7 linked regions of the Cricetulus griseus genome follow. The protein of the gene in region 3 purifies or fractionates together with the protein of the main gene of each other region. This does not show direct contact. Links are inferred from orthologs where the notes say so. Each region holds a gene or a part of one and is shown on either strand. Other genes may lie near its edges.

The links.
Region 1: the proteins of Ctnnb1 (region 3) and Ctnna2 purify together in Homo sapiens (co-immunoprecipitation; 5 studies listed by BioGRID and IntAct, with this or other methods). This does not show direct contact. The link is inferred for Cricetulus griseus from reciprocal best matches to the Homo sapiens genes CTNNB1 and CTNNA2.
Region 2: the proteins of Ctnnb1 (region 3) and F-box/WD repeat-containing protein 2 purify together in Homo sapiens (affinity purification with western blotting; 4 studies listed by BioGRID). This does not show direct contact. The link is inferred for Cricetulus griseus from reciprocal best matches to the Homo sapiens genes CTNNB1 and FBXW2.
Region 4: the proteins of Ctnnb1 (region 3) and Pkm purify together in Homo sapiens (affinity purification with western blotting; 5 studies listed by BioGRID and IntAct, with this or other methods). This does not show direct contact. The link is inferred for Cricetulus griseus from reciprocal best matches to the Homo sapiens genes CTNNB1 and PKM.
Region 5: the proteins of Ctnnb1 (region 3) and Amer1 purify together in Homo sapiens (affinity purification with mass spectrometry; 4 studies listed by BioGRID and IntAct, with this or other methods). This does not show direct contact. The link is inferred for Cricetulus griseus from reciprocal best matches to the Homo sapiens genes CTNNB1 and AMER1.
Region 6: the proteins of Ctnnb1 (region 3) and Smad3 purify together in Homo sapiens (affinity purification with western blotting; 6 studies listed by BioGRID, with this or other methods). This does not show direct contact. The link is inferred for Cricetulus griseus from reciprocal best matches to the Homo sapiens genes CTNNB1 and SMAD3.
Region 7: the proteins of Ctnnb1 (region 3) and Ptpru purify together in Homo sapiens (affinity purification with western blotting; 3 studies listed by BioGRID). This does not show direct contact. The link is inferred for Cricetulus griseus from reciprocal best matches to the Homo sapiens genes CTNNB1 and PTPRU.

The regions. Positions count from the first base shown.
Region 1 is NC_048601.1:69,548,727-69,553,006, forward strand, and holds the start of Ctnna2 (catenin alpha-2), read right to left. Parts: upstream 2,801-4,280; 5' UTR 2,598-2,800; intron 1-2,597. UniProt on the Homo sapiens protein: May function as a linker between cadherin adhesion receptors and the cytoskeleton to regulate cell-cell adhesion and differentiation in the nervous system. Required for proper regulation of cortical neuronal migration and neurite growth.
Region 2 is NC_048599.1:146,551,096-146,555,243, forward strand, and holds the start of F-box/WD repeat-containing protein 2, read right to left. Parts: upstream 2,801-4,148; 5' UTR 2,692-2,800; intron 2,591-2,691; 5' UTR 2,482-2,590; intron 2,437-2,481; exon of another isoform or gene 2,218-2,436; intron 1-2,217. UniProt on the Homo sapiens protein: Substrate-recognition component of the SCF (SKP1-CUL1-F-box protein)-type E3 ubiquitin ligase complex.
Region 3 is NC_048597.1:227,990,048-227,994,006, forward strand, and holds the start of Ctnnb1 (catenin beta-1), read left to right. Parts: upstream 1-1,159; 5' UTR 1,160-1,329; intron 1,330-1,695; exon of another isoform or gene 1,696-1,788; intron 1,789-3,959. UniProt on the Homo sapiens protein: Key downstream component of the canonical Wnt signaling pathway.
Region 4 is NC_048597.1:171,203,575-171,207,543, reverse strand, and holds the start of Pkm (pyruvate kinase PKM), read right to left. Parts: upstream 2,801-3,969; 5' UTR 2,786-2,800; coding exon 2,736-2,785; intron 1-2,735. UniProt on the Homo sapiens protein: Catalyzes the final rate-limiting step of glycolysis by mediating the transfer of a phosphoryl group from phosphoenolpyruvate (PEP) to ADP, generating ATP.
Region 5 is NC_048604.1:74,643,227-74,646,726, reverse strand, and holds part of Amer1 (APC membrane recruitment protein 1), read right to left. Parts: coding exon 1,292-3,500; 3' UTR 1-1,291. UniProt on the Homo sapiens protein: Regulator of the canonical Wnt signaling pathway.
Region 6 is NC_048597.1:175,281,546-175,285,548, forward strand, and holds the start of Smad3 (mothers against decapentaplegic homolog 3), read right to left. Parts: upstream 2,801-4,003; 5' UTR 2,301-2,800; coding exon 2,095-2,300; intron 1-2,094. UniProt on the Homo sapiens protein: Receptor-regulated SMAD (R-SMAD) that is an intracellular signal transducer and transcriptional modulator activated by TGF-beta (transforming growth factor) and activin type 1 receptor kinases.
Region 7 is NC_048595.1:21,482,937-21,486,436, reverse strand, and holds part of Ptpru (receptor-type tyrosine-protein phosphatase U), read right to left. Parts: intron 3,445-3,500; coding exon 3,290-3,444; intron 782-3,289; coding exon 646-781; exon of another isoform or gene 570-645; intron 191-569; coding exon 41-190; intron 1-40.

The sequences.
Region 1 (4,280 bases), on a different chromosome or scaffold from region 3:
AGTTAGCTCTTTTGTTGTTTGTGTTCTGTTTGGGGGGTCCTGTAGAACAGGCCAAGGGTCTGGATCATGTTGTGCACGCAAACTATAGCTGAGCTGTACCCCAGCTACATCAAATTGCCTCTTTATGCATTCATTCTTTTTACAGTTCATATTTTATTCATTTCACTCATCCACTCTCCTAAGATATTGTCATAAACAAAATATTTCATTTTCTATTTCTTTAATAACTTCAGTCTGCTTTCACAATATTGATGAATATTTATAAAGAAGAGTCAGATAAAATGTGCCATTCTATCCACAGTGAGCACTGTATTACTATCTGAGATACTCCCTCATCACTCTGAGCAGAAAAACTGCAACATAGAAAGCAGGCTGATGAGAGACCATTCCTCCCACACTCACAACCCCACAAAGCAAGTGTAATAGATTAGCAGGGAAAATGACATTTGAAAGTAAGTTAGAACAAAACAAAGTTATTATCCCCCCCAGATTGCCATGAAAGCCTTTCATTGGCTGAAACTTGGGACAAGAAAAGTAACAGCAATAGCAAAAACACACCTGTGTGCAAATTCACTGTCAACTGATATAACCATTCAAACACATACAAGGTTGACCACAATTCGACCTGGAGACATTAGTAAATGATACTTCAACTGAGCTTCTGCCACAGGGATGATAAACCTGCCAAGCGGTGAGAGGAGCTGCATTCCTCCAGGGGAAGGTAAAGGGGGAGACCTCTCTTATTTCCTAATATCACACATTTCCCAAACACTAATCCGCATGACCAGAGGTATCAGCTGTTACTCAGATCCGCACTCTGTCACTTAAGAAGGCCATTCTCTTCATTTCAACTCCTACTGCACATTCACAAGGAATGCAAAAGTGCCTATTACACTGCTGAAATGTCATCAGAATCTCAGTAAAAGGAATAAATGCAACTCCATATCCTAGTTATTGACTGGCAACTTCAGGGAATCCAGTTTTGGTTGCTCTGCAGATACTATTTATAAAGAAAAAAATTGCTATCTTAAAGTTAAGGCTGCGGGAGATGTTAATGTTCAGATGAATTTCAACAGAACAAAATATAGTTCTTTAATTTTTACACTTTATTTCATGCACACAATTAGACTCACTAAGATGATATACTGATCCAGCATTGCTGTCCTGCCATCTAAGTAAATGCTGTCTAAGTAAATCCTTTAGAAACAGCATTTGCAAACAAAAACTGCCATGCCATCTTTGACATACACTGAAACACGCTTAAGTGAAGCTAAAGAAAGCAATGTCAAATACAGGATTCAGTGCAAGTAACTGATGAAAAATTGACTGAAAATGTTAAATTCTTAACAATAATCCCCAGAGGCAATTCAACTTTTCAGTAAGTGTAAATCTAGGAAAGGACACAGTCTCTCGGAACATTTTTCTTCAAGTATCAGGATTTCTATAAGGTGGCTGAAAAGGACTGGGGGTGGCTGTGCCGAATTCGATCACATAACTAATGCTACCAAAATGATATGTTTACAAGACAGCAGAGTAAAGCCTCATTCTCCAACAACTGGCTAGACATTCTCAGTCTCCTGAAGTTAACAAGGGATGAACAAAAAGTGTATCTTCCTATTTCCTCAAACCAAGTTCCCAGAGTGTTTTGCATACCGAGCAAAACACATTGTGCAATGCACCGGCATTAAAGTTGAGAGAGTTTCTGTCTGTGAAGTAGATAGTGACTGAGCCAAGGACACACAGGTTCAAGTCCAAGCTGAATATTAGGCGGGTGGCTTGAAAACGTCAATCCAGAAAGGCCTAAGGGAAGGGATACAGGCTTTCACTGTTGCCATCCTTCCTCTCCCCTCCCCTCTTTCTCTCTTGTTCCCTTCCAAGCTTCTCTTTCCTTGCGGTTTCTCATGGAGACGACAATCAAAGCAGAGAAAGCTGGTTTTAAATTAGTGTGATACACACTGGGAATATACAATTCCCAGGAGGAAAAAAAGAAAGGAAGAAACTGAAGAGGGGAGTGGGGGACGGTTGGAAACATATCTAAGTGACAACCTCCCCACCCCCACCCTTTATAGCACATATCCATAGATTGTTCCTGGACCCTATTCCTTCCAGTTCCCAGTACTCTATCCAACTTGACCCTTAATCCTGACAATGTAAAGAACTGCAGGGCATTCTCTGTGCGAGTGTGCCTCTCTTGGTACATGAGACCAATTTACCAGAAGCCCCTGAATCCGGACAGTTGTAGCAGGCAAGGATGCTCCCCACCATCCCACCCACCCGGAAGGGGTGAGGTTAAAGAAGGGTGAAAAGAGATGAAAAGAAGATAGATAAAAGGCATGCAAAGATGAGCTGAAGGGTGAGTGTCTGAAAGAAAAACAGAGAAGAAAGAAAGGGTGGGAAGGAAGTAGGGCTGGGTGAGAGAAGAAAGGGATGAAAGAAAGGCTGGAAGGGAGAAAGGAGCAGAGAGGAGAGAGGGATGTTGGGAAGGATGAGGGCGGGAGGGCTGGGGAGCAGGAGGGAGGGGAGGATGGAGAGGATGGGAGGGAGGCAGGAAGGGAGGGAGGCAGGCAAGGATGGAGGATGCTCTGCCCGGGACTCACCTCTGTGGGTCGGTGGGAGTTTCTCGCCTCCTCCTCCTCGTCCTCTGTCTGCAGCAGCTGGCGTGGAATGACAGAAGTGGCTGGAGAGGCGGCGGTGGGGACTAGGGCAGCTGCTGCAGCTGCTTCTGGCCGAGGTGCGGTGCCGCCCGCTCCGCCCGGGTCTCCGCCTCACTCAGGGCTGCCAGCAAAGCCGCTCCCCCCTCCCCCCGCCCGCCCCGCGTCCTGCCCTAGCGAGCGGCAGCGGCCCGGATCGCCGCTAGGGGAGGTACACAGTGCGCACGCGTAGCCGCTCTCTTGCTCGCAGGCGCGTGCCCGCGGCTCGCCCGGGCTGGCAAAGGATGAGCACGCGGGCGCGTGGCCCGGGAGCGCCGGAGGGGAGGGACTGGAGAAAGGCGCCACAGAGGGCGCAGGTGCCGTTTCCATGGCAATGGCGTTACCCTCTGGGCGGGGACCAGGAGCTTGATGCAACCCGGCCAGGAGAGGCTGGGTTTCTGAATGATCTGCATGGGTGATAAAGGGCTGGATGAGGACTTCTGCTCAAAAAGACCGAACCACGTGGCAGCAGGAGGCCAGAGCCCTGCTGGACCTGCAGCCCCGAACGAGGGAAAACCTGGAAAAGAATGGGACAGTTAAGGAAAACAGGGCCGAGGCTGTTTAACAAACAGCCTCAGTTTCTGGACTCAGTTTCTGTGGAAGGCATTGCAGTTGTCGGTATTACACACTCTAGGCATGTTGAAGTACCTATAATGTTTAAGGCCACTCTCTGTCCTCCTAGGGGTTACACAAGTTGGGAATATGAATAGAGAGACACGCGTGCCTTGTCAGCCAGAAGTACTGGGAGCTTGGTGATGGGGTCTAACTGTGAGACATACTTCGAGGCAAAACGGTACACAGCTATATCCAGCGAGAAGCATAAGTTACAATTGTCTTTGTTCGACCACAGTGCCGAATGACAACTTTGGCTTTGTCTGTACTACATCAAAGCAGAAAAGTGGAAGAAAGCTTACGGCAGCTTGGCATGCAGTCGACACTTATTCCATCTGGAATCCTCGTCCACTACCATTGAATCTTTTGTTCATGCCGTGCTTAAATGGCCCGGCATCACTGGATGCTCGAATTTCTCTTGCCCTTTCACCCTTGGCTGCGTCCGGAATTTCCTCCACTGTTGTTCCTAAGTTGCAATTTTGCAGTTGTTAGGAAATTACATGGAACTCAACTGTGCTCCTATCTCTAAGTTGCCACTATATGATCCTCTATCTTTCTCTCCAAATGTCTCCTCGACTTTGTTTTCCTTTCCCATCACCCCTTGACCATTTTTAAAACGTGTAGGGAAACGTGGACAAACGTCACCAAAAGCAAGCTTTAGAAAACATCTTCCTCGAACAATGCTGGTTCAGGACCACGGACAGTAGCACTGCCACCCTGTCAGCTTTCTTCCCTCACTCGGAGACTTTTCCTTGCTCTCTACTTATAGAAACTGGAGAAATATTCTAAAGAAGATGCAGTTTGAGGGGAAGGGGGAGGATAAACAAACAAAATAAAACAACTAGCTAACTAGATAAATAAATAGATGCATGCAGATCACTTAAAGAATTTGTGGTAAAATATATGATCCCTGTGAAAAGGAGCCTGGAAACTGGTCTTCAACTAGAGTTTGAAGAAATCATTGATTTAAAGCAAGAA
Region 2 (4,148 bases), on a different chromosome or scaffold from region 3:
ATAAATGAATTGGTGACCTCAGAGGAAGATCCCAACCACCCGCTAAATTTCTAACTTGTAAAAGGAATTAAGAGCCTGGTGTGCTGGGGCACTCCTTTAATCCTAGCATTGGGAAGGCAAAGGCTGGAGGATCTCTGAATCTGAGGCCAGTCTGGTCTACCGACCAAGTTTCATGATAGCCAAGCTTAGGCAGTGAAAGACAGAAAGAAAGCTAGTGAAGATGTAACTGAATGAGGGGGCCATATTCCAGCCCCAGCAAGCAGCATACCTTAACAGCTGACAGCGTTGGCCATGTGGTTCTGATAGAGTTAAGGATAGAAAAAAAGGAGTTATAGAAGTACATGTCAGGGTGTCCCTGAATGGGGGCCTAGTAGAGAGGCTATTGTGTGAAGCTGTGGAGTTGAAGCCTGGATTGCCTTGGAGAACCCACAATGTTATAGACACCAAAGTCATGGGTTACCTGCAGAGGAGAGCTACTAACAGGGTGTGGAACCACCCCAAGAGAAAGAAGTGTCTTGTAGTCAACAAAGATGAACAGAGTTGGAGATCTGAAGTGTTTTAACATCAGACAAGAAGATGCAGAGTTTGGAGTTTGCCCAGCTGGTTTTCAGTCTTTCTTTAGTCTGGTATTTCCTCACTATGCTCCCTTCCCTGTGTTTGGGATGAAAATGTATATCCTGTGCCACCATATGTTGTAAGTATATGATCTGTTTTCTGATTTTGATTCTACAGGGGATTACAGTAAAGAGATTGCCATGCATCTGAGAAGAGACTTTGAAACATGTTTGGGTCTATTATAAACTATGGGGACATTGGGAGGTGGACTGAATGCATTTTTGCATTAATATATGGCTATAAACCTTGGGGGCCAGGGAGTGGAATGTGGTTGTTTGAAAGAAGATGGTCCCCAAAGGGAGGGGTACTATTAGGAGGTGTGGCCTTGTTGGAGGGGAAGTGTGTGTGTGTGTGTGTGTATGTGCGCGCGGGGGGGGGGGGGGGGGGCAGGCTCTGAGGTCTTTTCTGCTCAAGTTTCCCTCAGTGTGACAGTCAGTCAACTTCTTGCCTGCACTCTACCATGCTCCTCCTCATGACAACGGACTGAACCTCTGAAACTGTAACTGAGCCTCTTCCATTAAAGGTATTCATTTATGACAGTTGTAATGGTCATGGTAATAGCATGGTCACAGCAATAAAAACCAAACTAAGACACCACGTAAAGTTAGAAGGCAAGAACTGACTCCGTAAAATTGTTCTTTGGCTTACACACTCACACACAAACTCAAGCATACATACACACCACACACAAAAATGTATTTTTTTTTAAAGAATAAAAGGTAGATATTTGTTGTTGTTGGAAAGGTTATCTCCTTACCCCCCTTTTCCTACCAAGTACAACCAGTTAAGCAGAGGCAGGCCAAGCAGAGACAGATGTAGGGAAATCTCTGAGTTCAAGGCCAGCCTGGTCTACATAGGGAGTTCCAGCGCAGCTAGAGCTATGTAGAGAGGTCCTGTCTCAAAAAACCGAAAAGGAAAAAAGAATCAGATGCTTTGAATATGTGTGCATGTGTACACTGAGGGTTATATGTACATAAAAATATTTTGTGAATATTCAGGAAACTGATTAAACAGGTTACTTCCAGGGAGAATGAGAAAGACAAGGGAAAGGGATGAGGGAGCTCCCTTTTAAATATAAAGGTTTTTGTATTTAAAACATGTGAATACACTATTTTAAAAATATTTTCCTCTCTTTGCTCCAGGAATTTCGAAAATTGCTTTAATTTTTTTTTGTTTGTCTTTTGAGACAGGCTTTTGCAATGCAGCCCAGGCTGGAGTCCAATTCACAATTCTCCTGCCTCAGCTGCCTGAGTGTTGAGACTACTAGAGTCCACAGCCACCCATGGCCTAAAAGCCCCTAGTTTGGGGGCTATTTTTTTAAAGCTTTGAAAAAAATTCAAATAAAAACTCGGGCCCTGAAATTTCACTTGTTGGGTAACCAATGGGCAAATCATCTCCTGTAATTCAAGCATATTTCCTCACTTGTAAACTGTAGCCTGGTACTGTTTTACCTACTGGAGTTTGTGAGGATTAAACAGGATAAAGTGTTCTGCACAGTATCTGGCACACTATAAACCTACAATAAATGCCAGTTACTATTACTATGTAGTATGAATACAGTTATCTCGGCCCCTTTTTTTAAGCAGCATCCCGAATACACACCTGTTTTCAAGTATACCCACAAGTATGGTGCCTTCCTACACGCTCTACAACGTTCTGTGTTTTACAAACCACCTGTCCGCACTTCATCTTTCATCAAACGGTAGCCTTGGGGCATCAATGTTAATTCATTTCGCAGATAGGGAAACCGAGGCAGGAACTCTTAGATCTAATTTTCCTGTTTCTAAAATGAACTCCGAATCCCTCAGCCCGCTCATGACTCCCTTGGTCCCCTGCTCCCGGAGCCGTGTTCCGCGCGGCACTGACCTGAGCGAGCGCCCCGGGGCCCGGGACCTCGCGCCGGGCTCACACCGACTAGGCGCGCTCGGGCCGCCAGAGCGTCGCAGCGGCCGGGTCCGCTCCGCAGCCATGGCGCCTGCGGGGAGAGGGAGAAGACAGGCCGAGGGGGTGGGTCAGCAACGCCGCGGGCGCCCAGGATCCCTGCCCAATCCCGCCCGGCCCAGAGCCCACACAGACCTGGACCTGCGGCCGCTGCTCTGGTCCGCAACCTCACAGGGGAGCGGCTTCCGGTGCTGCTTGCGTCATCTCCGCGCGTCCCTCCCGGCACCCAGCGCCCAGCTCCAGGCGGAAACGGCTCTACTTCCGGCCCCGCCCACCCGGAAGGTGGGAAAGAATGGTCAGGTCTGTGGAGAGAGGTGGAGAGGTAGGCTATTTATTGCCTACCACCTACCTGACTTCACTTAGACCTAGTGACCCTGAACTAAAGCTTCGTTTCAAGGCAGCTGTCTAGATTTTCACGGGGTGTTTATGTTCCTCATCTACCCTTGTTTTCACCAAGTTGGGAGCAATTTTTCATCGGGGATTAAGGCTACAAATTAAGTTGTACCTAAATTGAGACAACCCATCACACTTGATACATCCCAAACTGGATTCTGGCACAGATGAACAAATTCCTAACTGTGGGAGGTCTACATCTGGTCGTAGGAGAAAGACAGCATAAACAACCAAGCAAACTATGTGGAAAGAAGCAAGTGCTGTAGAAAACAAAACATGGTTAAGGGAGTTGGATAGGGGCAGCCAGGTGAGGTAGGCGTGAACCATAACACGTGCACCCTGTGCCCAAAGATCGGTTGAGGTTACTCAACCATGGAGACGGCTGTTCTCTATAACACTTAAGTTACTTTGTGAGAGCCAAAGTTACATTTTAAGCCCTTGTAAAACTTGGTTCTGGGCCATTTCCTGGGAAACCAGGTATGGACCGGGCCGGATCACATCTACCTGGCCAATATTTAATTGAAGTTTGCTTCAAATTTGGCTTTAAACTGTGGTAGTGGTCTTATTCTCGAGTGGTGGGTGGGATTAATAATGTATCAGTTGACTGGCATCCTTTTGCTCTCTCCAGACAGAAACCATGGTAAGCAAGAAACTCTTCAACAAGGAGAAGCTCTTTAATGCTGCTGTGTGATAGCCTTTTTGTTATTGTCTTTCGAGACAGGGCTTCTCTGTGTAGCTCTGCCTGTCCTGGAACTCCCTCTGTAGGCCAAGCTAGCCTTGACCTGAGATCGGCCTGCCTCTGTCTCCTGAGCAGACAAGGGCAATGAGCAGACAAGAGCAAGAGCAGATCCTGGAGGAGGGGTGTCAACAATTTTTTATACATGAAGGGCACAGTAGGCCTGGGCATGACGAGCATGGTGAGCATGGCTCTGACAGGCCTTGTCCTTCCCCCATTCCCTCTGCCTTGCTACACTGTTAGGTTACATTCCTAAAGCTAGCCACCAAAGTACTTCTTTATTTGGCTACTTCCTCCTCCTGAGGGTGACTATCAAGGTCCAGCTATCAAAAGTATTAAAGTCTAGCAATCAAAAGCCCCCTTTGGTTCACCTAATTAACATGCCCAATCAAAACAAACCAACTAATCCTAACAAACTGCCATTTGCCTATGGGCCATACCTGTCCCCTCTATCAAGAAGTAG
Region 3 (3,959 bases):
GCCAAAGCAGCCCCAGCCTGTAGCAGCGTTTATTCTCCGGAAATCCTAGCAGAGATGCAGAGGGGAAGGACTAGACAATGGTCCTCACAGAGCTACGACGATATATCTTTAAGATAGAAAAATGAGTCATTTAAAAAATAAGCTGGCCCTACAGCATTAGCTCTGGCTCAGTGGCCGGACAGGCTTCCTGCCAGTACCTGTACATAAGGGCCTATTGTTTACTTGCGTTAATTACAGTGCTGGGATGAAAGAAGGCAGGGGGGCGACTTTCACTGTTGCCATTGTTTGGGAAGAGACGTGAGCACACAATAATAGACCTGGAGACAGCCAACCCACCCCAACTGCTCCAGTTATGACCAGCGCCAGCCGTGCAGGGCGACAATGGGGCCATTTCCAAGGCATGACCCAACTTCAGCCTGTGGTAATGACTCAGATAACATGCTCTCGAAGGATGCAAAGTGGGTTTGGAAAAATCTGGAGTTGTTCGTGGGTCCTCTCAGCAACACACTCGAGTTTCTCACACAAGACAATAAAATTGCAGTCCTTGGGAAAAGTCTCCCTGCCCAGTGGCTCCCGGTGAGACAGGATTTCTAGGAACCAGGCTGGTGCACAGTGCCTTGCAGCTGGACCGCCTGTTCCAGTTAGATGTTACCAACAGGCACTCATGGGGACTCCGTGGCCTCTTGGGGTGGGGTGGGGGGGAGGTGGCTGAGCCCCAGGGATCCCTGTCGGGGTTCGGGAGGCGCAGCAGGAGGTGAGAGCAGACGCCCCTGCAGACAGTGACCTGCGGTGGGGTCGAGTCGCAGCTCAGGGATGTGGCGGTGTCCCGGACGCCGGGGCAAGAGCCGGGCTCGGGTCTCGAACTCCCGCCCTCCGAGGGGCTGCGCTCCACCCTGCCCGCGGTGGCGGCCCCCCTCCCCACCCCCGCCCGCGCGCGCCTCCCTTCAGCTTCCACCACGGGGAGCCAAAGGCGTCGGGACGCCACGCCCCGGCCCGGCCCTCCCGGCGGCGCATGCGCGGAGCGGCAGGGCCGGCGGGGACTACTTTCCGCGCCCCGCCCGCGCCCCCGCCCCTCGTCCTCGCGCGGCGGCACGCTCCGCGCCGGGCGGCGGCGGAAGGACACGCGGTGCCGCGCCGCTTTATAAAGCGCTCCTTGTGCGGCGCCATCTTAAGCCCTCGCTCGGTGGCGGCCGCGTCAGCTCGTGTCCTGCGCGCAGCCCGCGGCCCGGGGAGGCGGAGACGGAGAGCGGAGCACGGTGGGCGCCGAGCCGTCAGCTCAGGAGGCCGAGGGCGAGCGGACGGCCGTGAGGGAGCAGCGCGCGGCCCGAGGTGCGGCCCGCGGCGGCGGGCTCCAGCCGCGCCAGCGGGAAACTTCGCGGGCCGGGCGGCCGCGGCGGCGGCGGCGGAGGGCCGCGGGGGCCGGGGCCGGCGGAGCGGGGGCGCGGCCGGGGGAGGGGGACGGGCGGCGGCGGACGCCCTCGCTCCGGGAGCCCGGATGGACGCTGGCCCGTGGGGTGGGACCCGCGGTTCGCGTCCCGGCTGGGCTGCGGGGGGCGGGGGGCGGGGGCGGGTGGGCGGGGGGCTCCGCCTCCGGGGCCCGCGGAGACGGGGTGCGGGCGCCCCCCGCGCTCGGAGGACGCCGGACTGGCTGGCTGGGTGGCGCGCGTCGCCTCCTTCCGTGGCGGGGCACGGATAGATCTCTCCCCCCGTCTCTCTCTCCCTTGCGACGACCTCACTGTGCGAGTTTGAAGCCGAACAACTTTAAGCCGCGGAGTCGCCAAACTCTGGGTGCGGCGGGCGGGCGGGAGTCCGGGGTCGCGGCGAGCGGCGGCCACTGGTGGTTTTGCGGGTGGGGTGGTGGGGTGGGGTGCGCAGGGGTCCGCTCGGAGCGTGCTTGCCCTCCGCGACCCCCGTGCTGGCTCTCGGGCCGAGAGACACAGAGAGACAGAGTGGCCGGAGCGCGGACCGCCGGCCTGGCCCGCCCGGGCGAGCGCGGAGACTTGTTCCGAGTGTGTGCCCTGTTCGGGGAGCGGACTCGTAAGTTAGGGGCCCCGGGCCGGCTCGGCCGCGCCGGCGGCTGCGGGGCAGCTTTGTCTCGGGCTCGGGTCTGCAGACATCTGTGGCCCCCTCCCCTCCCCTCCCCCGCCCGCCCGCCCGCCCGGCCTGAGCGCTGAATGGAGAGTGGCTGGGCCGCTGGTATGCGGAGGTCGGCGAGAGGAAATCGAGGAGTGGTTTTAGTGAAACGAGAGCTTTGTGCCGTGAATAATGGTGGCTTAGACCAGACAGCGGGCCGGCTGGAGAGACGGCAGCTTTGCCTTTGATGAAGTCTGCCTCATGTTTTTCACACGGCCAAGTTGTGCCGCGTTTTGTCTGGGGTTTAGGAAGGAAGCCATGCCGCCATTTACTTGTGTGGCTTGCAGACGTCTCGGGTGCAGGCCCTCCCCGTCCCAGGAAAGGGAATGCAGCTTGCTCTGTTGGTTTCTAATTGAACGTTGCTTAAGCTTGTGGCTTCTATGTCTCGATGCATTGGGCCCAAACTTTATGTGAGTTGAGGCCGCTGTTACGTTTAGTTCACTTTTACCTTTAAATATTCAGAAATCCCCGGATTAAAAAGAAGTGTCTCCAAGGTTTGAGAGCCCCCTTTCGCAGCAGACAGCATTGATGACCGTGCTGGGGATGGTCGTTCTGTGCCCTGACCTTTGTCCTGAATGAAGGCCGAGTCTGGACAAGTTGGAGACATGCAGGCGTCTTTCTCTAGAGTAGCTAGCACCAGACCTTCTCAGACAGAAAGAAGCTGAGCTTGCCTGGAACAGACTTCATAGTCGCAGGAGGACCAGCCTCAAAGAGGGAAGCTCAGGTGTCAAATACTGTCTCAACAATTGTCTACAGCAGCGGTTCTCAACCTTCCTAATACCGCAACCCTCAATACAGTTCCTTGTGTTGTGGTGACCACCAAAAATGTAATTGTTTTCGTTGCTGTTTCATAACTCTTAATTTTGTTCCTATTATGAATCGTAATGTAAATAAATAATTTGTTTTCCGATGGTCTTAGGTGTTCCCTGTGAAAGGGTCGTTCGACCTCCAGGTTGAGAGCCACCCGTCTGGAGTCCCCATGAGAATGTATATTTGGGTATTAAACGTCTCCTGGGGAGTATCTGTCCACTTCTATAGTGATGATGGGGATAGAAATTGCTGGGAATGAAGCTTTAGCACTGGTTTCAGAATGCCACCGCCAAGGTGGGGGACAAGGAGACAAGCACCTCGGGGTGTGCACAGTACTGGTGGAGCCTTTTCCACATGAATGCAGGGCAGAGACCAGAGCCTGTGCGCACCGGGGTCGGGAGTTTGGATCCTTATACTGCTAAGCAGTGAAGTGGACAGCACCAGTAGACCAGTCAAATGCAATCTCAGTGTTTAGGTGAGGCAGTGGTCTGGGCCCATCACCTGGGTATGAGGTGGTAAATTTTTAGTGTGCTTTGGAACTTGGTCAGAAGCTCTACCTGTGAGACAAACCTCTGATAAACAGTGTTCACAGCTTGTTTGTAGCAAACATTACATGGCCTGTGGAGGCAGCCTCTGCCCTCTCTTAGAGGACACAGCTCTCAGACGAATCAACCCTTGAGCAGTGGCAGAGGGTGTGACCCATAGATCACTGACAGGGTGAGATGAGTACCGACTTGTGGTTTCACAAAAGAAAAGTGATGTGTGGATCGGAACTGAAGCAGGAGCTCTTTATGCCCTGGAGAAAGGTTCTTATTTCCTTGTTTACCTGTGAGTAACGCTGTGCGCCACTTGACTGGGAACCTAGATTTACCTGCTGATGTAGAACTCTGGGAGAATGCATATAGTCTTCCTTGGGGAGAAAAGCCTTTAAAAGAGGAAGTACGCTGTCCCAGGGCTTAGCCACTTTTTTGGAACTTAGTTGTGTTGTCTCTTAAGACATTTCCCGGTTGCAGCTG
Region 4 (3,969 bases), about 57 Mb from region 3:
ATTACATAGCCCTGGCTACCCTAAAACTCAAGATATCCATCTCCCCTACCTCCTGAATGCTGGGATTGAAGGCATTTGCTACCTTGTCCAGAGGGAGGTCTACTTCTTAACCCTAGCAAATTCTGTACCAGAAAAGTCTGGTGTTACAAGGCTATTCAGAATATGAGCCCACCTGTTTGGGTGGCTCATTTCTGTGGGGTCAAAAAAAAAAAAATTAAAGAAACAAGCACAAACCATCTTTTATTTAACCTTAACTTTAACAGTCCTACTGTAAATCCTGCCATGCAATTATGAGGACCATCCTGCAGAAAGACCATTTTATTTCAGGACAGAATGCCAGGGACAAAGAAACTCTCCAGTCCTTAGTACCAAGGATCTCCTGCAACTAGTTTGAGCCAGAAGATGATCTGGGAGAAAGTTTCTGTTCTGCTGGCACATGGTGCCCTCCTTAGCAGGCTTAAGCTGCCAGTGTTACCGGGAATGATGCCCACTCTGGACCCTGGCTAGGAGTCTAGGAAACCAACCAGGTGTAAGCAGAATGCACAATGGTCTCCCCAACTGGAGGCACAGCTTCTGTCCTGAACCAAGGGGGGCGGGGGGTGTTAAATAGGGAAGGCAGTACCAGCTGTCCAAGAGCACTGACCTACTTACTATGAGTGCCTGTCTACAGTGACCTTTATAGGATCACAACTATTCCTTCCCAAGGGGGAGAGGGACCCCAAACCCTGTGTTTCTACCACTTAGAACTCTGCTTCAACAATGATTTGTATTTTTAGACTTTCCAAAAATAAAAAGTATTCTGATTGTATTCAATCCATAAATAATTTCCTTCTCCCAATCTCTGACTTCTCTAACCCTCCCGCTGTCCTTTGTCCCCACCCCTACCCTGAATTTTGGATACCCAATCACTATATCTATATTGAACCCTATGTTGTTGGCTTTTTTTTCTTGTTTGATATGGGTTCTCATGTATCTGGGACTGGCCTTGAGCTCATCAAGTAGCTGAGGCTGAATATAAACTTCCAATCCTCGTGCCACCACATCTTGAATGTTGGAATTAAAGGCATGTCAATTTTATGTAGTGCTAGTGATGGAAAGACTTTGTGCCCAACAGGCAAACATTTCCCGAGCACTACATTACCAGCTTCTTCTGGGCTGTCCTTGAATTGAAGATCCGCCTGCCTTTGCCTCCTGAGTGCTGAGATTAAAAATGTGCACCACCATACCCAGTGCTTCCCTACTCTTCCAAAATGGGCATGCCTTAAAATCTTTTACACTATTGCTGGAAAACACCAGTAGTTTAAAGTCAAAATATGACCTGTAGGTTAATTGAAAATGTTTGGAAGGAGCCGGGCTGTGGTAGTGCACACCTTTAATTCCAGCACTCGGGAGGCAGTTGGATTTCTGTGAGTTCAAGACCAGCCTGGTCTACAGGACAGCATCCAAAGCCACAGAGAAACCCTGTCTCGAAAAACAAACACAACAACAACAAAAAATAAAAATAAAAAAATGTTTGGAAGGGATGCAGCTTCCTTTAGAGCTTAGCTGGCTTTGGGAAAGATTCAGAGCTCCCCAGACCCTTCAGTGAAGGTGTCCCAGAGGCCACCAGAGGTACTACAGCTCAAACCTTCCCCCTTCCCTCCTACGTGCAGACAGGCACAAACTACGGTAGGGGCGTGGCCTCACTGCACAGCTTGGTGTCTGTAAGACCACCCCCAGTCCTGAGCTGAGCTGTTACACTAAGCCTTAAGAGGCCAGCAGAGGTTTGCAGGCCACCACCCACGTGGGCTCACCACGTGGGCTCACTTCTTCCGACTACTCCATATCCAGTCTAAGTCTGGCTCTTGGGAAAAATTGCAATACCCAAGAAAGTATCATGTCAGGAATTAATCAAAAAGTCTGTCATTTATTTCTATCCGTACCAGAGTGAAGTTTGCAAGGATGACTCAGTACTTATGTACTCTTACCAGCGAAGTAAAAAACCTCACAGGCGACAACTCATTTTTGTAGTTTACCAGTTAACTTGGCTGTGGGTATTTGGGATGATTCAGAAACTTAAAGTGAATCAGTCATTTTCCTCTACCTCAATCTCCACCTTAGTGCTTGGCCAACTCATCTTGACTTCCTGTAGAAAAGCTGAAGCAAAAGACACTAAAAACCCAAGTAATGAGTCTAATGCAATAGGTTTTTTTTCTACCTTCCTGCCCATGGATGGCTCGTTTCTTCTACTCAATATTAAGAAATCAACAGCTTTAAGAAATAAGATGTCCTTTCCTGTGATCATACCTTCTTGCCAAAACAGATGGTATATCCAACCCCCATGAGACTGAGTTGTTTGGAGTCAGCTATGTACTAGAAAGTGATTAATTATCATCCATATAGTTCCACTTAAAAGCAGTAACTCAAATGAGTTCACAGAAATTGTCATTCTGGATACTGGTTGTTCCATGAGAAGCTGCTGTGCCTATCACTCAAGAATTAAGAGTGGACCTATAGACTAGGACCAACCACTCACACTTCCAGCACTCCAGTAGCACAAAGGGCCTGGTCCCCGGCATTTTGCTGCCCCTTCCCCCCTCTGGAACCTGCGATCCTGGCCTCCAAGTGCTGAACCACCACACTCAGTCTGAGTGACACATAGAAGTTTAACTTAGGGAAATGCACGCTAGCTCAGTATTTGACTGACTAAACAGGGGCCTTACTAAACCTAGGAGTACCAAGTTTTCCCCACTCACCCAAGGATGAGAATCTTCTCGAATGCCGCTAATGTGAAAGGATGAGTCATCTTGCCCAGACCCGGTGGTGGATTACAGTACACTTTCCCACAGAACAGCCTCACTGCCTTACCTACAACATCCTCAGGCCACCAGACAGTAAATTGTTTGCTAACAATGGTACCTTGAATCCTGACCCAAGGCCCTCCCTTCTGTACTCTAGAAAGTAGCCCCACCCTAAGTATTGTGGCAACAGAACTTACTGCAACAGCTTCCAAATCCAACTTCCTACAAGCCAGGGAGCAGAAAGGTCTTACATGAACCATCAGGGACGAGAAAATCAGAAGAGACTGATCCGGGTACCTGTTCCTTTGTTTCTACCGTTACAGTCGAAGACAAAAGCTGCAGCATTTGTCCCTTTAGATAGCTGGCTTTCTTGGGAGTTGCAATTGTTAACATTAGTTACATTGTAAACACGGACCAGAGAGAATTCGTTTCCTAGGGGATACTGGGTGTTCATTGCCTCCCTGCCTCCCCAAGCTTAGTACTAATGTGTAGAGGAATAACTGGGCGACAGACTCGGCCTTCAAGGTAACTGTATTTCATCCATTGACAAAAAAAAAGTACATGTGCACGCCCTCGTGGTCATTTCACCTGAGATTAGTCATGTCCGTACAGACACGGAGGCCAGTAACTCCAGCAGTCTGGAGCAAATGTCTAAGAGGCTGAACCACCTCAGAAGATTCCTAAAACCTGTGTATATCCCCCGCTGCCTCCACGCAGGACTGGACCCACATTATGAGGCTCTATTTATCCTATCAATCTCCTGGGTTTGGAAGAGGAGATAGATCCAGAGGCATCTTTCCAAGACTGTATTTTTAAGTAACCTTCAGACTAGGTGCTCTACTGCTTACTCAATCCCTGTGTGCGGACCAGCTCGTGCAGCCCCATCCTTCCTCACAGCACTGACTTGACAAATTTTGCTTCCCTAATCAGACTGAACTCTGTGGGCTATGAGCGTTCTGGTCGCATCGGGCTGCAGCTACATTCGGAAGCCGCCCTTGGTTGATCGCCCACCCCGGGCCAGCACGTTGGAGCAGTGTGACTGGCTGGTCCAGGAGCCCTGCGGTACGCGCAGCCTCGCCACCGCAGGATGGACCGCGTGAGCGCTTGCAGGCACCCCACATGGCCCGGGTAGCCCGGAGCACGAGTGCTTCGCCGGCAACCAGAAGAATCTGCGGCCGCACAAAATAGG
Region 5 (3,500 bases), on a different chromosome or scaffold from region 3:
CCTGCCCCCCCCAAAAAGGGAAAAGAAACAAAGAAAAAAGAAAATTGCATGGATGTAAGAGAAGGGAGGGTGCTGTTCATTTCAAAAAGGATTGCAGCTGCCATGCAAATCAGGCCTGCAGCTTGGCAGAGCAAGGACACATTACAGTCTTTCCTCTCAAGAAGCCTGGTCCTTTGACAATACTAAGAACTTGGCTAATTGGGAGACAAAAGCTTTCTAAAGTGCCCACAACAACAGGTAAGGTGCCTTTGGCATCCTGTCTTGGAAATGTAAGCTTGGAACCACTTCACAACGGGGTGGACAAGGATTAAGGAACTCTTTTGGTTTGGGAGGAAGGAGTGGGGGAACCTTTTCCTTCCTAAGCTAAGTTGCTTCAAGCTGCAAAGTCTGAGATTCCTTCTTGGTGTCCAGGATAAATGGACCCCTCTTTCTGTTTTCCTCCTTTTCATCCCACAAAACCCAATGCTTACAGTCAAGCCCAATTTAGGTGGCTTCTCTTCCCTTATCTCAATTAAGAGACTACATTCCTTCTAATGAGATTATGACAATTTCAGTTACAGGACCAAGGGGAAGTTCTAAAGTGCCTGCAACAGCCACAGGCTTAAGAAACAAACAAGATATCGTTCCACAGCTCAAGACCCCACATCAGTTTCCACAATCTATCTACCTTTGTATTCTGCTTGAATACAGACAGATTTACTCACTCCATTATGGGGATTAGTGTTTTGTCTTCTAGACTATGTCAGGCCAGGTTAAAAGGACATCATCTAGTTATAATACCAAAGTCCACAGCAATTGGGAGCGAGACACATGCTACTTGATCCACTCTAAACATAACTAACTGGGATAAACAGGTTATAGTCATTTGATGTGATGTAAAGGGGGTTAGGAATAATATGTACCATAACTTTATATTGCTAATAGCCAGAAAGCCTCCCATCTCTGGGTGAGTCAGTGCAAAAATTTGCTGCTCATCAGTGGTTCATTAGTCAACAAGGGACCAGAGAAGAGGGGTTCAGCCTGCAATAAGGATGCATCCCAAGCCCTATATGGGTCAGAAGAACCCCAAAGCAAAAACTAGAGCACAGAAGCAGCAACTTCCCTGGGCAGATGTACTTGGGCTGAACCTAGCCAAAGATGCCAGAGGGAGGTGGGAAAACAAAGTGAAAACTCAGAGGAGTTTATCTTGGCCAAAGGGATTTTCAAGTTAAACAGCAACCCCCACCCCCACCCTTCTGCCCAACCCCTGACCCCCATTCACATGCTCAGGTCTCCACTCTGGAATTGATGACTACTTGGCTAGGTTTCCATTCATGGCAGTGGAGGAGTAGCTGGTAGAGAGAGAGGCACCTTGCTCACCTCTCTCCTTTGACAGGTCAAGGTTGGAAGCTCTGTAGTGACTGGGTTGAAGCTGAAGGGGTTCAGGCCGTACCCTGGGCAGCTGAGGGATACCATGGGTGATGCCTACAGGCTTGGCTTGAGACAGAGAGTTGGCTCCAGAAATGGAGGCACAACTGGGCTCATCTACAGGCAGCAGTACATCCCGAGGCCTGGCCCTTACACTTTGGGAGGCCTGTGATTGAAGGTTATAGCAAGGACCCATGGGCAGGGGTAGGTGTGAAGGTCGAACTAGCTGAGACAGAGAGTCTCCAGGTGCTCTTGGGAGCCCTGGCACTGCCATTGCCATTGCCACAGGAGGTACACAACAGGTTGCCTGACCATATGAAGACTGATTAAAAGGCCCATCCAACTGATTGGGGCTTATCCAAGCAGGGTCTGGCTCCAATGGAAGAGGACATTGACCCCAGGTTGGCCAGTCATAGGCCCCTGGAGGTTCAGTGTAGAGGGACAAGGGACTGTCTCGGCCCCATTCTCCTTCCTCTTCTTCACCTTCTTCATCTGAATCTTCCTGGTGGGCCTGTAGCTCATCAGACTCCAAGTAACCCTGAGCTAGATGAGAACTGGAGAGGTCCAGGTCTAGGGTCTCTGCATTGTCAAGGGAACGGCTTCTCCTATTGAGTGCCATTGCAGCAGGTGGAGGTCGAGGGTGTATGCCAGGGAGCCCCAAGTATCGAGGGAGGCTGCTAACACCCCAGGGCAGGCCTTGGTAGAATCGAGTGTGATAGCTATTGAAGGCATGTTTTTGGTAATAACCCAGCTCAAAAGCTTCCAAGGAGGCTGTGAGGTCTTCATCATTGTGGAACTCGGGATTTTCTTCACACTTGCCTTCTCCATCCCGTTCCACATCAGCAATGTCAAAGGTGACCATGGGGGGCAGCTCAGGGAGGTTTTGAGTGAAGGATGAATCAGAGTCAGAGCTGCAGGACATGCTGGAGAAAAGGTTTCCGTTGCTGGTAAACTCTACTAGGGCCTGTGAGAAACTCACAGTGGCATTCCCTTCCTTCTCATCTTCTTCTTCCTCTGGCTCCTCAGGGGGTGAGTAACTAGGGTAGGCCCTTCTGGGAGATCCTCCAAAATTTGCTTCTTGCATGTCTGGCTCAAACATAGCATCACTCTGGAAGAGCTGCATCAAACAAGTACTTTGATCTTTTTTGGAGCAAGTCCCCTCAAAACGCTTCTCCAGAGGACGGAAATCCCGCCAGTCTGGTTCACTGCTAGAAGTAGCAGGGAAAGCTGAAGTGGTTCCCCGGTGGGAAGTCTGAGAAGCTCCTGAATTCCCTGCCACGAGGCCCATTACTGATGGGCCTAAGGGCCGCATCTGATACTCCAAGACAGGCTTCTCCTGCCGGACCTGGGTTTCTCGGACTCGACCCTCTTGAGCATGAACTTCTCGGGCCTTGACTTCTCTGCTTCGGACATCTCTGCTGTAAGATTCCCGAGTGTGGGTGTCTCGAGCATAAGCCTCCCTGGCATGAGCCTCTCTAGCACATGCCTCTTGAGCCTCAAGCTGCTCCCGACGAAGCTCCCAGTATAGCAACTGTTTCTGGATGGTCACTAGCCGTTCTTCCTCTGTTTCCATTGCTCCGGGTGGCCGAGAAGAAAAGGGCTCAAAGTTCAAGAAAGGACCAAACATCTCGGAGCTGCGACCATGAAGGTCATAAAGGCAGTCATCCCCAGGAGGGGAGCTCTCCAGACTGTCATCTGGCTCATAGAATTCATATAGGGCATCGCCACTGTAGCTATCTCTGGGTAAACAATCCCTGTGGACAAGCCCCAGTGCCTCACCTGAATCATCCTCAAACCCTGGTGTGGTAGAATCATAATAACCTTCATCACTATTGGGAGCAGACTCTTGCTGGTCACTCTGAGGAGTCAAAAGTTCTCCAGGGCCTAGGCTAGGGTAAGACTGAACTGGGTCAAGGAGCATGTAGCCCTGGTGACTTGGGGATGTAGCAGTATGGTAGCCCAGGTTCAGATTAGATCTTGGATATATCTGGGTATTTGCCCACAGATACTCTAAGTCACCATCTTCCTCCCCATCTTTGACTTCCTCTTCCTCATCCTCTAATTCTACCTCCTCATCTTCCTCTTCCTCATTG
Region 6 (4,003 bases), about 53 Mb from region 3:
GTACAACCAAAGAACCAACCAACAAAAACCCTGCTCCCACCCACCACCTTCTTTGTGCAGTCTGAAGATGCCTAGTCCTGGAAGACCTGGGTGAAGTGGAGGTGGTTAGCCTGAACTCTCAGAAGCACACAAACCTTCACCTGCCTGGGACTGGGAAGGGCTGCAAGTGAAAGCAAGATCAGAAGGCAAATGTAGGCCAAGGAAGGCACAGTCTCTCCTCTAAGCTGACCCCAGCCCAAAGATGAACCAAGAACCTTCCAGGCAGAGATCCACCACCCTCCCTGGATAAGGATGCTTTGGGCTCTCAGAGTCCACAACAGTCTGGGAGAAAGGGTATGCTAGCCCCAGTCTTAGGTTTTTCCCTATCTCCTGTGAAGGTCTGTCTGGTTGAAAGGCAAGATCATTTTAGACCTCGCTGCCTGTTCTGTTTTCCAGGCCTTCATCAGGCCTATGACAGTGCCTTGTAAATTGTGAAACACTCTGCCCAGCTGCTTCATAATTGATATCACTTGAGGGGGTTCAAAACATAAAGTATTCAGTGTGGCTGCACCCAGGCGTATTAGGAAAAGGCTATTTCTCCGGATCTGACAGAGACCTGAGACTCAGCCACTCCACTTCGTCAAAAGGATAAAGAAGAATGAGGAGCCAGAGCAGGAGCTAAAACCCAGGTGCCTGTGACCATCACGTCACAGCACCCCCCTAAAGCCAGTTGGCAGAGGCTCACAGGCCAAGCATTCTTCCCAGACAACTGCCTTCGCCTCCCCCTTTATTGATCCCAACCAGGTTTGGGGGTTGGTTGTTTTTGGTTTTGTTTTTTGGCTATTTTTTTTAAGCAGGCATCCCTACCGTCTGTGGTGTTTATTTCCAGGGAAGGCCGACCCTGGGCTCCTGTGGACAGATGCTGCTTTGCGCCTTACTGTTAGGGCTGGCAGCATACACACAGCTGCCTTGAGCAGGTGGCCAAGGATGGAGGCCACCCTGGCCCGGAAGAATGATGACCTCTCTATCTTAGGCCCTGGGAGCTCTCTCTCCATTCCTCTGCAGCTTGGGACACCACCACCTCCCACCACCACCCCCACCCCGCAACATCCGCACCTGCCCTCCTCTGGAATCAATCTTTAAAGATGTCTTGAGAAGTGGAGACAGAAGGCTAAAGTGCCCTCATCCCAGGCGCAGTTATGCTCTGGGAGGCCCTGGGAGTGAAGTCACTGACCCCTTCCATCAGCCATCTGTGAGCTCCCGCCGGACTCCTCTAGCCCGATGGGAAGGATAAAGGAGGTCAGGACAGATGGCAAAGCGTTTTGGGAAAAGAGGTCTCTACAGGAATGCAGGGACAGAGGGAGGCCAGCTCTGGGATGTTTTGTTATCTGTCTGGAGCTGCCTGCTCGGTTCTAGGCACCCGCAAACTCTCAATTAAAATGAAGGCATACCAGGCAGGCGTGGGGTGGGAAGAGGGAATGACCGTACTTTCTGCCACTTGTTTCTCCCGCTTCAAAGTCGGTGCTTTGCTCTGCAACTAAGTGCGTGCGTGCATGCGTGCACAGGGGGCGGGAGGCTGGCACAACCAAATCTAAAAATACTCGATAAAAATGCTAATCCCAAGGCAAAGAAAGAGCGAAGAAGGAATCTGTCAATCAACGGGCTCCCGCTCCTCACCCACAGCTGTACCGACTGCATTCCTGTAGACGAGGAAAAGAAGTGGGGGAACAGAGCTGAAGAAAAGAAAGGGACACACGCCACCACCTCCACGAGCGCGGGGCGGGAGGCGGCGGCGGAGGAGGGGCTCGGCCGGCAGAGCCGAACAAAGCGGGGCCTCTACTTGGAGCCCAAAGCCCAGAGAGTGGGGGGCCAAGCTCAGCAGCACCCCTGCTGCCCACAGGCGGCTAGGGATCCTTGAGGTCTGGAAGCCAGAGTGCCGCATGGAAGCCTGGGCTCTGAGCCTGGACAAATCCGAAGAAGGTTTTGTTTGGGGTCCCTCCACCCACTGCCTGTCCCCAACACTAGAGCGCACACACACGCACACGCCCTCCCCTCTCCACCCTGGCCGCCCTAGAGGGCTGGGCCGGCGCGCCCCCCGTCGCTCCCGGCCCCCACCTGGGGATGGTAATGCACTTGGTGTTCACGTTCTGTGTGGTGATGGCCTTCTCCAGCTCGTCCAGCTGCCCCGTCTTCTTGAGCTTCTTCACCAAGCTCTTGACCGCCTTCTCGCACCATTTCTCCTCCTGCCCATTCTGCTCGCCCTTCTTCCAGCCCAGCAGGCGCTTCACGATCGGAGGGGTGAAGGGCAGGATGGACGACATGGCTGGCACGGGAGGGTCACCGGCGCCCCCGGCGGGACTGGGCGCACTGGGGACGCCGGGGGCGCACAGGGGCAGCTCGGCCTGCGCCGCGCCCGAACTTCGCGTCTAACTCTGGAGAACTTGCCCCGGCGTCCGGGCCGGGGCCGCGGCACTCCAGCTGCGGGGATCGGGAGCACGGTGGCGCCTGAGTAGCTCCACGAGGACCGACGGACTGACGGGCAGGCCCCGGGCGCGCGGGGCGGAGGCGGTGGCCGCTGAGACTCCGAGTGGCAGTAGAAAGTTTGGGTTTCCGCACGGGGTAGCTGTTTGGGTGCCGCCTCCGGGAAGGAAAGTCCAACCCCCAGCCAAACTTTGCTGGCCTGGATGACTCTGGTGAGCAGATCCCTCCGCCTCTGCAGTCCTCCTCCTCCTGTTCCTCCTCCTCCCCGCTGATCGCCGCCTCGCAGGGCCGGCCAGGGCCGTGCAGCGGCGCTCCCCGCTCCTCTCCCGCCCGCTCCCAAGTCTACGTTTCACGCAGCTCCGCGTGCAGGCTTCTTCCCAGCGCTGTCGCCGCCCCCTCGCCGCTCGGGCTCCCCGCTCCTCCCCCGCGCTCAGCTCCGGGGAGGACCCGCGGCCTTCCCCGCCCAGCGCCGCCAAGCGCGCCCACGTGGGCCACCGGGCACGGCGGCCGCGGGACCAGACTCTTGGGGACTCGCCGCCCTCAAGACGCTCAGATGCAGTTGCAGGGACTAGAGAGTGTTAGACTCGCCGGAACAGGCGCGGGACCCCTAGGGTTCGCTGCTCCCTGGAGAGTACTGGGACAAGAAGAGGGGTTCAGTTCCAAGCCCAGGAAGCCGGGGAGCACTGATCTCGCTCACTGGCCCCGGCTGTTTTCCTTTGGTTTGGTGTTTTTTGTTTTGTTTTGTTTTTGTTTTCCCGCTGGGTGAGATCAGACCGACTGACTGCCCGGAGACTGCGGAGGAGGGAGTTGGGAAGGGGGAGAGGGAGACTTAAAAGTGGAGTTAGAGACCTCAGTGACAACTTGAACAATAGCTGGAGCCTGGGGTCCCTTGGGCCTAGTGAACCAAGCTCTTTGCAGAAAACGGGCCTCAAAGACATCTGTTGCATTCCTTAAGGAATGAATGGGAGCGCTTTAGGATTTATCTTTGGGGGAGGGGAAGAATTAACATTGCTGGGTGTTACTGAAATTCGACGCCAAACAAGCAAGAGAGCTTTGTTTACAAAGCAGTGAACTCGCACATACAAAGTGGAACGAAGTTTACTCAAAGTTAGCCTAGGTAGGACACCAAGAGAACCTGACTTTGGGTAGCCCTGGGGCCCAACTATCGGAATTCGGGGCTGGCTGCCCATGGTCCTTTCACGGGCTTGGAGGCGTTACAGCAGGCTCTCAGCTCCTTTACCCTGCGGCTGCAATCCCATCGGGTTAACTCAGTAGGTATAGGACTATGCTTGTTTTAAACAGTGGGAAACCCCACCACCACCGACGGTGGTGAGAAAGAAGTTATTTGCAAACCAAGAGCCGGTGGGAGTTACAAAGACCTATGAAGTGTGGCCAGTCCCACAAAGTCAGCCCAGAAGCTTCAGGGGCCCCCAGCTCTGTCACCGAGGGTGCCCCATCGCCAGCCACAGCTTGTCAAGAGGCTGTGGTTTCCTAGGTGTCTCCTTCCACCTCCCTGAAGCCAAGTCCTGAAAGGAGGAGGATT
Region 7 (3,500 bases), on a different chromosome or scaffold from region 3:
CATACACCCACTCCTCACACCCATACACACATCCCCCTACCTGGAATTCTTCCCGAAGCTGGGAGGAATTACTCTGAGGGTCAATTCGGATCATCTCCCTGTAGGTGGCCTTGAACTCATTGACAGGGATGGTAGTCTCCCCGCACAGGCAGGCCTCCAGGATTGCATCATGGATGAAGATGTATTGTTCCTAGAACAAGAGATGAGAATGTAAGAACAAAGAGAAGGCTTGAAGCTGAGCTCTACCAAGGATGAAGGAAAAACATAGCCACAGCTGCGGCAAGGATGCTTGGCTGGGTCCAACCATCGCATCAGCTCATCTACTACATCCCAGGAACATTCCCAGGAGATCATCTGAGCGCTGAGGGACAGTCCAAGATCCCAGATCTAGTGAGGGCACAAACCCTGGTACACGTGACTCTGGAGCCCGCCGCCGCCATCTGACTCACCTGACACAACACCATGAAGTGAGATTTGGAGAGAACTACAAGATCCCCCCAACCCCCCACTGCCATGTTTGAGATGGTCCCCGGGAAGGAAGGGCCTAGGATGCTCTGAAGACACGTTACCCCAGCTCTGCGCTCCATGACAGAGACCCTGAGACCTAGATGGAGGGGAGAGGTCGGGGACAGGGCTGGTCTGAACCTCAGTCTGGATCATGTTGACCCGCCGAGAACAGAGGGTCTTCACACAGTTGTAAATGTCCACGACGCCCTCACACTCAGCCATGTCCAACATCACGTCCAGGACGATGTAGCAGCCTGTGCGGCCAGTGCCTGCGCTGAGGGGAAGAGAAGGCCAGCACCACATCAGGGGCAGGGGCTCAAAATCAGGGAAAAGAACTGGGGACCAGGGAATCTGCCCAGCTACATAACTTAGGGGTTGGGAGCACTCCAACAAAGAGGGATTGTGAAGCTGGGGTTCTGTATGAGGTGACAGAGGACACAGTTGAGGGCGTAGAACAAGACCTGGGGAAGGAAAGGACAGAAAGAGGACGGGCGGACATGGAAGTGAGGCTAGCTCAACTTAACAGCCAAGACTCGGCGGAGAGACGGAGGTGATTCTCGGAATGCAATCTAAGAACACACATTCCCCTTGGATATCCCAGACTCCTGCATAGCATTCAAAACCCACACATCCAAACCCATCCAAAGCCATCCAAAGCCATCCACACCCATCCAAAGCCATCCAAAGCCATCCAAAGCCATCCAAACCCATCCACACCCATCCAAACCCATCCACACCCATCCAAACCCATCCAAACCCATCCACACCCATCCACACCCATCCAAACCCATCCAAACCCATCCACCCATCCACACCCATCCTCACCCATCACACCCATCCACACCCATCCTCACCCATCCACACCCCATCCACACCATCACACCCATCCTCACCCATCCACACCCATCCCACCCATCCTCCACATCCACACCATCCACCCATCCACACCCATCCACACCCATCCACACCCATCCACACCCATCCACACCCATCCACACCCATCCACACCCATCCTCACCCATCCACACCCATCCACACCCATCCACACCCATCCACACCCATCCACACCCATCCTCATCCACAGTTGGAACATCCAGCACTTCCAGACACACGGCCCTCTTGCAAACTCTCAGAGCGATATGGCTAACTTCTGCTCAAACCCTGGCTACATGGTCCTTATTTATGTGGCCAGCTCCCTAACCCCACCTGGATCCATCACTGCCTCCACAGGAGCAGTGTTGATGGGGAGGCAGGTTGGGAAGGATGCCCCAGGGTTCCGGCTTTGAAGCCGCCATCATCAAAGCATCACCGAGGACTGCACGGCTCCAATCACCTGGACAGCACCCACTAGAGCTGACTGTTCACAGATGGCAGTTCTGCCCTACACATGGCCCACAGCAATGTGGGTGCATTTCCTCTCAAGAAGCCAGCCACACCTTAGAACAGCTGCTCTCAACCTGTGGGTCTTGAGCCCTTCAGAGTCACATATCAGATATCCTGCATATCGGATATTTATATTATGACTCAGAACAGCAGCAAAATCACAGTTATAAAGTAGCAATGACATAATTTTATGGTGTGGGGACATTATCACAACATGAGGAACTGTATTCAAGGGTGGGAGCATTGGGAGGTTGACAACCACTGTGTCAGATCATCCTTAGGGCTGCCATTTTGTTTTAGCACCACTATTTCTGGTGAAAACCAGTGGATCCCGAGCAACAGGAGGTGGACAGATACGCCAGAGCGTTTTCACCCTGGAATGTGGTGCTGTGTGGATGGACCTCACACACAAAGGAGAGGGTAGAAAGTCACACAGCAGAGAACTCACACTGGCGGGACTTAATTCACACCAAGTTCAAACCCATGAAAGGGTTCCTGCAGGGAAGAAGTCAGATTGTGATTGCTCTGGGAATAGGGAACATTCCAGAACTTGGCTCTGTGTGTGTGTGTGTGTGTGTGTGTGTGTGTGTGTGTGTGTGTACAGTGGGGTGTTAATACTTTATACTTTTACATGTGTACAAACTTGTCAGAAGCCAGAGGTCAGCATCAGGTGTCATTCCCTAGGAGCACTATTCATTGTTCCTTCTGGACCAGGGTCTCACACTGGAACCTGGGACCTGCTGGCAGGGCCAGTGAGGGGCAGGGATTTTCCTGTCTCTGTCTCCCAAGGCCAGGATGACAGGCACATGCCCCCATGCCCAGCCTTTTACACAGGTGCTGGGGATCAAACACCTCCATCCTCCATCTCCCACCCCCATGCTCTGTTACTCTATAAGTTACTCTATAAGTAACAGATCTATAAGACTGAGCTCACGGTTCAGCTAGTAAACCATCAGTTGCAGGCACACTCACTGTTCATGATATAAATTACATTTTGCATGACAGACTTTTTGTATCAGTTGGAATTCATTCTTAGAAGATGCTATGTTAATGAGCTCTGAAGAGAGAGGAAGAAAAAGACAGACAGACAGACAGACACTAACAGGAGGCTATAGGGCAAGGGAAATCAGTTAGTGAGAATTCCTGCAGAGAAGCCCGTATAAGCCACAGGAGCTGTAGGCTTGCAGGCTCCAGGATTGCAGCTGTGGTAAGGGGGCTCCAGGGATGCCAACCTCAGAGCCAAAGCTCACAGGATCGTTGGGGAACCATTCTCTCTTATCCTCTGTCTCCAAGCAGGCTGAACCCAAGTCCGGTCCTCTTTAGGACCCAAGACCCTGCCCCACTCCAGTCCAGCTCCCCCAGCCTTGGTCCCTCTCCTTGGGATCTCCCGGGCTCCCACCTGCAGTGGATGACAATGGGCCCAGCATCAGGTGGAGTGGAAGCCTTCACACGCCTGATGAAGGCCAGCAGCCCCGTGGCATGGTAGGGGACGCCATGCTCCGGCCACGCTGTGAAGTGGAACTGGCGGACCTCATGCCGGGTCGAGTAGCCTCTCTGTGGAAACCACAGTGGTGACAGTCAGTTGCCAGCAGCACCCACTGGACACCTGC